2 linked regions of the Cricetulus griseus genome follow. The protein of the gene in region 1 purifies or fractionates together with the protein of each later gene. This does not show direct contact. Links are inferred from orthologs where the notes say so. Each region holds a gene or a part of one and is shown on either strand. Other genes may lie near its edges. The genes, in order: Sh3pxd2a and Fgd1.

Evidence for each region.
Region 2: the proteins of Sh3pxd2a (region 1) and Fgd1 purify together in Homo sapiens (affinity purification with mass spectrometry; 3 studies listed by BioGRID and IntAct, with this or other methods). This does not show direct contact. The link is inferred for Cricetulus griseus from reciprocal best matches to the Homo sapiens genes SH3PXD2A and FGD1.

What each region holds. Positions count from the first base shown.
Region 1 is NC_048596.1:14,278,683-14,282,486, reverse strand, and holds part of Sh3pxd2a (SH3 and PX domain-containing protein 2A), read right to left. Parts: intron 3,208-3,804; coding exon 3,088-3,207; intron 2,258-3,087; coding exon 305-2,257; 3' UTR 1-304. UniProt on the Homo sapiens protein: Adapter protein involved in invadopodia and podosome formation, extracellular matrix degradation and invasiveness of some cancer cells. Binds matrix metalloproteinases (ADAMs), NADPH oxidases (NOXs) and phosphoinositides.
Region 2 is NC_048604.1:108,419,608-108,423,948, forward strand, and holds the start of Fgd1 (FYVE, RhoGEF and PH domain-containing protein 1), read right to left. Parts: upstream 3,020-4,341; 5' UTR 2,235-3,019; coding exon 1,928-2,234; intron 1-1,927. UniProt on the Homo sapiens protein: Activates CDC42, a member of the Ras-like family of Rho- and Rac proteins, by exchanging bound GDP for free GTP. Plays a role in regulating the actin cytoskeleton and cell shape.

The sequences.
Region 1 (3,804 bases):
AGGCACAACTGGGCTTTCCCATGTGGCCTATATGCAATGGCATATGGCCCACAAGCAAAGTCACCAGTGTGTGTGCAGGGGTTCCAGGCCCAGGAGAACCCCACTATTCCCTTTCGCCTACTAAGTGTGTGCACCCATCACACCCTCCCTTCCAGCTGGAGGGTGTCTTCGGGGGTCACATATTCTGCAGGGTTCAATGTTGTCATCCCCTCCCCCCTCCCGTTGTCCTTCCCCTTGTCTGCATGCCACCATTCATTCAGTGGCAGCCAGAGCAGCACACTGAGTCTGGAAGGACCCAGTGCTGTTAGTTCTTCTTCTCAAGGTAGTTGGAGGGCACCCAGCCCTTGAAGGGCTTCACCTCATCCAGGATCTGGCAGTACCACCAGCCATTGGGATTCCTCTCCAGCACCTCCATGGACACCCCCTCTTGGAAGCCAGCTGTCTCCTCATCCCCCTCATAGTCTGCAATAGAGATATACACATCTTTCAGGTTATTGTGGATGAACTGAGACTTCTCAATGGGCTTCGGACGCACGGGGGAGATGGGGATGCCATTGCGTTGGGTAGGCAGCAGGGGTGATTCTGAGCCCTGGCTGGCAGCCCGTTCTGCCAAGCGGCCCTTGGCCTCGGCGGCTGCTGACCGTGCACTACTAAAGGAGGAGTTCCTGCGCACACCTCTAAGGCTGTCAGTGGCCGTTAGTGACTCGTTCCTCCTCAGGGCACAGGACAGGTTGTTGTCCTTGGGTGGTGGAGACACAAACACAGACTGGGGCCTGACTGCCACCTGCCGCACACCGTTCCTCATCTTCACCGCTACGGTGCCCGAGGTCTTGCCGAAACCCCCAGGAGGCTTTGAGGGGATGGGTGGGGTGACCCTCTTGCTCTGGTTCACGGTGTTCAGCGCTTGAACCCGCTTCTCGATCTTTTCCAGACTGTCCGACTTGCCCTCATTCTGAGTGCTCTTCACTGAGTCTGGCTCTTTGCCAGCGGCGTCAGATTGCTGGTTCTCCTCCGGCACCAAATAGTGGGAAGGAGCCCAGCCCTCCAGCTCCCCAAACCTCACATACCACCATCCGCTTTCTGCCTTCTCCAGCACGTGCACCTCAACGCCCGCAGGGAAGCTGATCTCGGAGCCCTGGACCTTCTGATAGGCACTGCGTGTCACATAGGCGGTGCCTTGCCCTTCCCATTCCATCCTGGGAACACACGGGGGGCCGGTGGCCGCGAGGGGAGTGACGTCAGCAGAGCCTCTCCTGGACCCCTCAGAGGCTGTCTGGGGGGGCAGCTCTGAGTCCTCACTCCTAGAACCCTTGAGGCCCCCCCGCAGCTGACCTGTGGGCCTCAGCTGGCGCCGTAAGGAGCGAATGTCCATCTTTTCCTGGCTTTGAGACTCGGCTCGGTTCAGGACTGGCTTTGGTCGGACCGATGGCTTGGCTCGGGCACAGGAGGCCAGCCCGGCCTTCACATCGGCGTCTTTCTTGGTCCCGACCTTGGGGGTGCCACGGATGCCTGCATCTGAGGCAGAGCGTGGCTTCGTGTCGCCACTGTTCTTGGACAAGGAGGAAGAGGAGGAGGAGGAGGAGGAACAGGTGGCGTTGATGGTGATGGAAGAGGAGAAGGAGACGTTGGACTGGTTTTTCCCCAGTTCTGCCTGGGCATTCTTCTCTGCCTTGAGCTTTAGCAGTGATGATGATTTGGGAGACCCTGATTTGGGGGAATTTTTCATGGCAAGGGACAGCGAGGAGCTTCCAGGGGAGTCACTATCCCCAGAGGAGCCTCTGGCAGACAGCGCATCTTCTGTGTAGGGCCTGAAGCCCTCGTTCTCATAGATCGTCTCCTCCTCCAGGGCCACGTCCTCAGAAGATTCGCCCACCTTGAAGCGTGCCCGCTGCAGGGAGGAGGCGGGTGAGGGCCTTCGGGGCTGGGCAGGTCGCCTGTCACCTGAGGCCCTGTCCTCAGTGGGCTCTTCACTCAGCTCAGGCTCTGAGTCAGAGCCGAAGGCGGGGATGTCATACTCAGGTTCCTCATACTTAAGCTTCAGTGGGGAGTCCTGGCTCTCACAGGCACCCCCAGGATTCTCCTCGGTCTCCTTAGGCTTGCTGGGGGGTGCAGGCGGGGGCACCTTGGGCCGGGTCAGGGTGCTGGTTCGGCGGCTCAGGTTGGGCTTCTTGCGCTTATCAATGTATGACGCGGGGGCCCAGCCTTCCTTCTCCCCAATCTGCACGTACCACCAGCCGCCTGAGTTCTTATCGATGACCTGAGGGAAGAGGGACAGGCCGGTGAGTCCAGGGGTCTCGGGGTCCCTACAATGTCCCACTCGGCCTATTTTATAGACACAGATCTTGAATAAGTGGCTCTGAGACCTATGGCAGTCAGTGGCAGGCTAGATGCAAACCCTGGTCCTGGTTGTGAGGCTCCCTAAGTCTGTGCCAATAACTCCACAACACCCCCAAATCTAGCACATTGTTCCTAGACCCTACAAAAACCAGCTTGCGAAGGATCAATATGGATAAAGAACCAGTGTTCCATTGTTCCCGATCTCCACCCATGTCCAGTACCCTTTGAAAGGGTCTCTCAGGTGAGAACGGGAAGAGGCATAAACCAGGCCTGAGATCAGATCCTCCCTGCAAAATGTCCTCCTAGTATCCACAAAAACCTCAACAAAATCTCATTAGGATTTCTTGGGTCAATACACAATATTTTCCTCTGATCTGCATGCATGCGTGCGTGCGTGCGTGTGCGTGTGCGTGTGTGTGTGTGTCCTCCCAAATAAAACATTCCTGATGAAGCAAACTGTCAAACTGTTCTGCCCTGGAAGTTCACACACCTTCAGCAGCACTTCATTTCCAGGCTTGTCGTGCTCAACCCTGCATGTTTAGGGACATGCCACTATGGGGTAAGCACTGTAAGCAAGCGAAGGGCAGAAACCCAAGTCTCGGGCTCTAGTCCTGGTTGCTCCCCCACTAGGCAAGTAGTACTCATGGCCACAGGCTCACTTCGGTACCTGCCCTGCCTGACCCTCAGAAACCTTGCCAAGAAGACATACAAAAAAATATGAAGCAGATCCTTAGCCCAAAGGAGGCTCACCTCAGCCTTCTGTCCGCCCCGAAAGCTGATGCCGTCAGAAATGCAAGACTGGAATTCAGCAATGGTGTAGTATTCTACCTCAACAGAAGGGGGCTCTGGTGGCTTTGGCAGCTGGAACCCCTAAAGCAGAAACAATCAGTGAGCAAATAGAGCTAATCAGAGCGGTACTAAGGCCAGTGACTGGTGCCCATTGGCTCCTCAGGTGCTTGTGGCCATCCCTGCTAGCTGGATAGCAGCTGGCTTTGAAGGCAGCTGTCACTTACACATCAGGACTCCCCCCAGATGGCACTCACGGTCCAGACAACACTAGTTTGAGCTCTTGGGATGCTTCCTATAAAGGTCACAAGAGTTGGACCCCAAGACGGAAAGCATGGAAACCACCATTTTATAAGTCTAAGGTCTAAGCCAAGTGGGCAGCTTCTGGAGAAGAGGGTGAGGGAGCCAGCCGTCCTCAGGACAGTGAAGTAGGAGCATGGGGGCAGCTGGTTGGGGAGGGGTCTTTGGGAGGAGGTTAGCCTGTTGGTGCCCTGAACAGAATGTAGCCCTGTTTCAGTAGGCAGGCAGAATATTCCAGAACGCCTATATGATTTCTAGGCGCTGGCACACAACTTCTCTCATAGCGGTATTTAAGGACACTTAGAACACTTGGCCTATGAGCCATGAGCCACGTTCTTTTTAAACAGCCGTTTTCTGTGCACCTACTTGGTGCTGCTCTGA
Region 2 (4,341 bases), on another chromosome or scaffold:
ACTGGTGGAGTAGAAAAGCAAGCTCAGTATCAACCCCATGTTGACTAGAGAGGGCAGAGACCAAGGGTCAAGACCTTCCTAGCTACTGAATCCCAGACAAAGAGTATTTGCTGGGTGGGAACTCAGTGTCCTCTTAGGCAATAGTTACAGAGGGCCTACTGTGTGTTCCCTTACCATCTATTCAGACATTTGTTGAACAAGGATTTATTGCATATTTGCCTTGTACTAGGCACTACACTAGTTCCTTAGGTATACAATAATGAACAAACCAGGCACAAGCCCCTTGCCCGCAAGGAGCGCACATTCTGTCACAGGAGCAGCAAAACCAAGCAGACACATACAAGAGGGTAGTTTCAGACTGTATTAAATGTAAGGACAGACACACACTGGCAGCTGTGATGGAGATTCACAAGAGGCCCTACTTAAAAGTGGTCAGGGAAGGTCTCTCAGAGGGGACATTTGAGCTGAGAACAGAAAGATGAGGAGCAAGCCAGGTGGAGGGCTGAGGGAAGGGCTAGCAGGCAGCAGGCAAAGCAAATGCAAAGGCTCTGCAGTGGGAGAGTTGTGGGTGTCTGGGGATGTGCAGGGAGGAACTAAAATAAAATAAGTATGTCTGATTAGCCTCCTCTACACAGCATGTGTCCAGGGGAGTTTGGAAAGGCAGTAGAAGCAACGAGCAGGGCAGGCCATTAAAGGGTTGTCAGCTGGCTATCTCCAGTTCACGAGGGGGAGGGGGTGCCTAAAATCTCCCAGAGGTTCCATAACTATCCAAAGAACAGACAGCAGTGAGAGCCACTGCCTGTGCTTTACAATTCACTGTTACTGTTACCTGGTACTGAGCCATAGTACTAGTGACCTGTGGAAGCTGAGATAGGAGCCCTGGAAGCAGCTAGATGCACGCTCACCACCTCCTTCAGTCCCAATGAAGACAGGGCAGATATTCACTGCTTTCCCTTCAAGGCCCGTGTGAAACTATCCTAGAGACTCTGCTAGGCTGCTCAGATACTCAGGCTATGAAAAGGCCCATCCAGGTCTATGGCCCGTCTGACCTAGAGTTGTTCCACCATTGCAAACCCAAGCAACAACCATCCTGATTATCTTTTCAAACAATCTGCTGGCCCTGAAGCTCTCCCTTCTGACCTTTCTGCTCTCTTCCTACCTACCAGCCCCTTGAGCCCTTTCCTTCAGGCTCATCTCCACCTTTCTCTCTCATCAGTACCTCCTGTGCCGCCCTTCCCTTGTACTTTGGCCACAAACACCTAGCAAAAGCACAATCTAGGATCAGTCCACCATCTCCCTCTCTCTCTTTCTCACACTTCAGGGCTACTGAATAGTACAAGGGGAAATCACATAAGTAGAAAGCTTAGCATTTATGTCTAGCTTCAGTTTGGGGAAACAGAAAGACCACAGATTTTGGACTCTGCTCTGGTTTTGAATCCAGGCACCATAATGACAGTATGACCTTGGACAAGTTACTTCTCAGAGCCTCAGTCTGCACCCCTAAAAATGTGGTTGATGAAACTCACTTCAGATGGCTCCTGAAGCTGAAACTAGAACCCTTGTAAAAGTACCCAGTTCAGTGCCATGCACAAATGTAGGCACTTAGCTAATGGGAGACTTCTCTCCTATTCCCCTAACCACATCCCCACTGCTGCCTTCAAATCCTGCCCCCTTTTCTTGGGAGTGCTTCCTCTCCTGTTAGCCTCAGCAGTTAGAAGAGAAAGGACTCTTAAGGATTGAGGGCGCAAGGGACAGAGAAGAGCAAAGGCTGAAAGAACTGGACGGAATGCTGCAGGAGGGAAAAGGAAGAGGTATTGTGGGAACTCAAGGGGTTAGGGTGAGCATATCGGCCCTAAGCCCTAGAACAAGAACCCGTTCCCAGTACCAGGCCCGTGGCCCAGGTTCCCATGCCGTCTGGATCACTCACCAGGCCGAGGCTGCGAACCCTCCAGGTGGTAGGAGAAGCGCAGGGCCCGGTGGTGCTGTGGACTAGGGCCGCAGGGCAAGACCCGGGAGCTTGGAAGAGCTCCCAGGCTGGCGTCCGAGGGTCCCACAAACTGAGGATCCAAAGGCCCTCCAAGAGCCGAGCCTGAGCCCCGGCGCACCGGCAGTCCGGGTTCCAGGGCTCCAGGGTCCGAGTCGGCACAGGCCAGTGGTGCGGCGCCAGGGGTATTCGCCGCCAAGCGTTCGGGATCCGAAGGCCCAGGGCCCCCCGGGACTCGGTGGCCATGCATGGTCCGGGCCTGGGCGCGGGGCCCGGGCTCCCCGCTTGGCTCCAGTTCCTGGGGCGGAGGCGCGGGCGGAGAAGGCCCGGCGCCCGGCGGAGCAGCGGCCTCAGGCTCGGGGGGCGGGGCTGCGGGCTCAGCCCCACTGCGGAGACTCGAGCCCCCGACCCGGGCTCCGGCCAGCAGCCGTGGCAGCAGCAGCAGTAGCCGCGGCCACCGCCGTTGCCGCGCCAGGCATCGCCGGCCCTGGCCCCAAGCGGGGAGTGGGCTCGGCGGGGCCGGGGGCCCGCTGGGGAGCGCTGTCTATGCGGCTGCGGCTGGGCGAGGGTCGGGGGCTGCGCTAGGCACGGGCTCTCCTGATGGACGGCCAGTCACTTCCGTGGCCGGGGGCGAGCGGCCAGCCGGATCCCAGCGAGGGGGGTCTCTCCTTTCTGCCGGAATGAGAATCGACCTGGGTTCTCTGGGCTGGTCGGGAAGGGTTCTTCCTCCCGCCGCAGCGGAGGCTGGGGGCGGAGGAGAGGGGAGGGGAGAGAGGAGAGGAAGGAGGGAAGAGAGGACGGCCGTGGCCGGGAGGCGCGCGTGTGCGCCGCGCTCTCCGGCTGGCTGCGAGGCTTGCCTTTGGGCAGTCCTCCAGGACGATGCTCCAGCCTCGCGAACAGAGGAACGGACCAGACCGGGCTTCTCCGCCTTGGGCCTGGGTTTCCACCGCGGCGGGCGGGAAGAGCCCTGGGAACTGGGGGGGGGATGGGGAAGCGCGAGCCGTTGCTGAGACAGCCGCAGCCACCGCGGCGCTGGGACCCAGTTACTAGAGTCCCGCCCCCTCGTCGGGATTTGAGCTTGGCCACGCCCCCTCGCTTGGGCCAGTTTCACCTCTCGCAGGAGCTTAAGGCCCTCCTTTTCTGCTGGCCCTGAACTTCCCTTCAGTTTTCCTTCCCATCCTTCCCTGGTCCCACATAGGCAAGTCTCCCAGCTCGATTTCCAAAATCTACCCTTCCGTCGTATTTCATGTCTTCTTCCGCTCTCCCATCACTCTCCTACAAAGAAGCCTTTCCACGTATTTCGGAGTTAAGCTAGGCTTGGCTCATAGTGATCCTTTGCAAATCTTCATTTCCTCAGGCCAGATCTCATGGTCCTTTACTTCCCACTCTTGCAGCCTTAGTTCCTTCTTTTGTCCGTTATCCGACTGGCAGCAACCCAATCCTGAATCGGTCCAACTGTTTGCCTTTCCCCCCAATACTTGTGCCCAGGCAGCTGAACACTACTGGATAATACTACAATTTTCTAGATTTGTATCATGAGGAACCCTCATTTCCCAGCTTCTACAAGTTCCTCAGAACTGACCTATCGCTCTACTAGTAGTCAACTTTCTCTTGCATTTCCCCACTATTCCCTATTTAAATCTCACCCACAGTGGCCATTTCAAATCTAGTCTCCCCAACATCTTGAATTTGCCCCCTAGTATTAAGCAAATAAACCCTACCTCTTACTACGTGGAGTGAACAGAAGACACCAGAGAAGAGGTCTTGTCTTGAGTTCTTGCCACCAAATCTCTGAATTTGTCCCCGTGTTCCTTCTCGACTTTAAATACACCTCGGGTATCTTTCATCTAAAAAACAATCACCAAACATTCTTTTTTTTCACAAATGACTCAGGACTTGCTCACACTCAACTACCTCATTTCCTACCTCCTACTTATCTTTAACCCTGTTCCAACTCACCTCCACTACTTCTCCCAAACTGCTTTCTTATCAAGATCTACCATAGTTTATGTCACTAAATCCAAAAGAATCTTTTCAGAGGTCATCCTTCTTGGCTTTTGGGTAGCATTTGGGTAGCGCTAGTGACCACTCCTTCCTCCTGAAATTACTTCCCTATGACATAATACAATGTTTATTTTCGTCCTTTTTTCCTTTTCAGGTTCTTCCTTGTCTCTTGGTATCATTGGCCTGAGCTCTGTTGTCTTCTCTTGAGCTCTTTGGTCCTTCAGTGTCTCATTTGCTTCCATGGCTTTGGTTATCAGTTCTTTGCTGATAATTCTAAAATAATTCAAATCCAGACATTTCTCCTGGCCCAGACATAGAGCTGATTATAAGACAGCATTGCTTGAATATCCTAG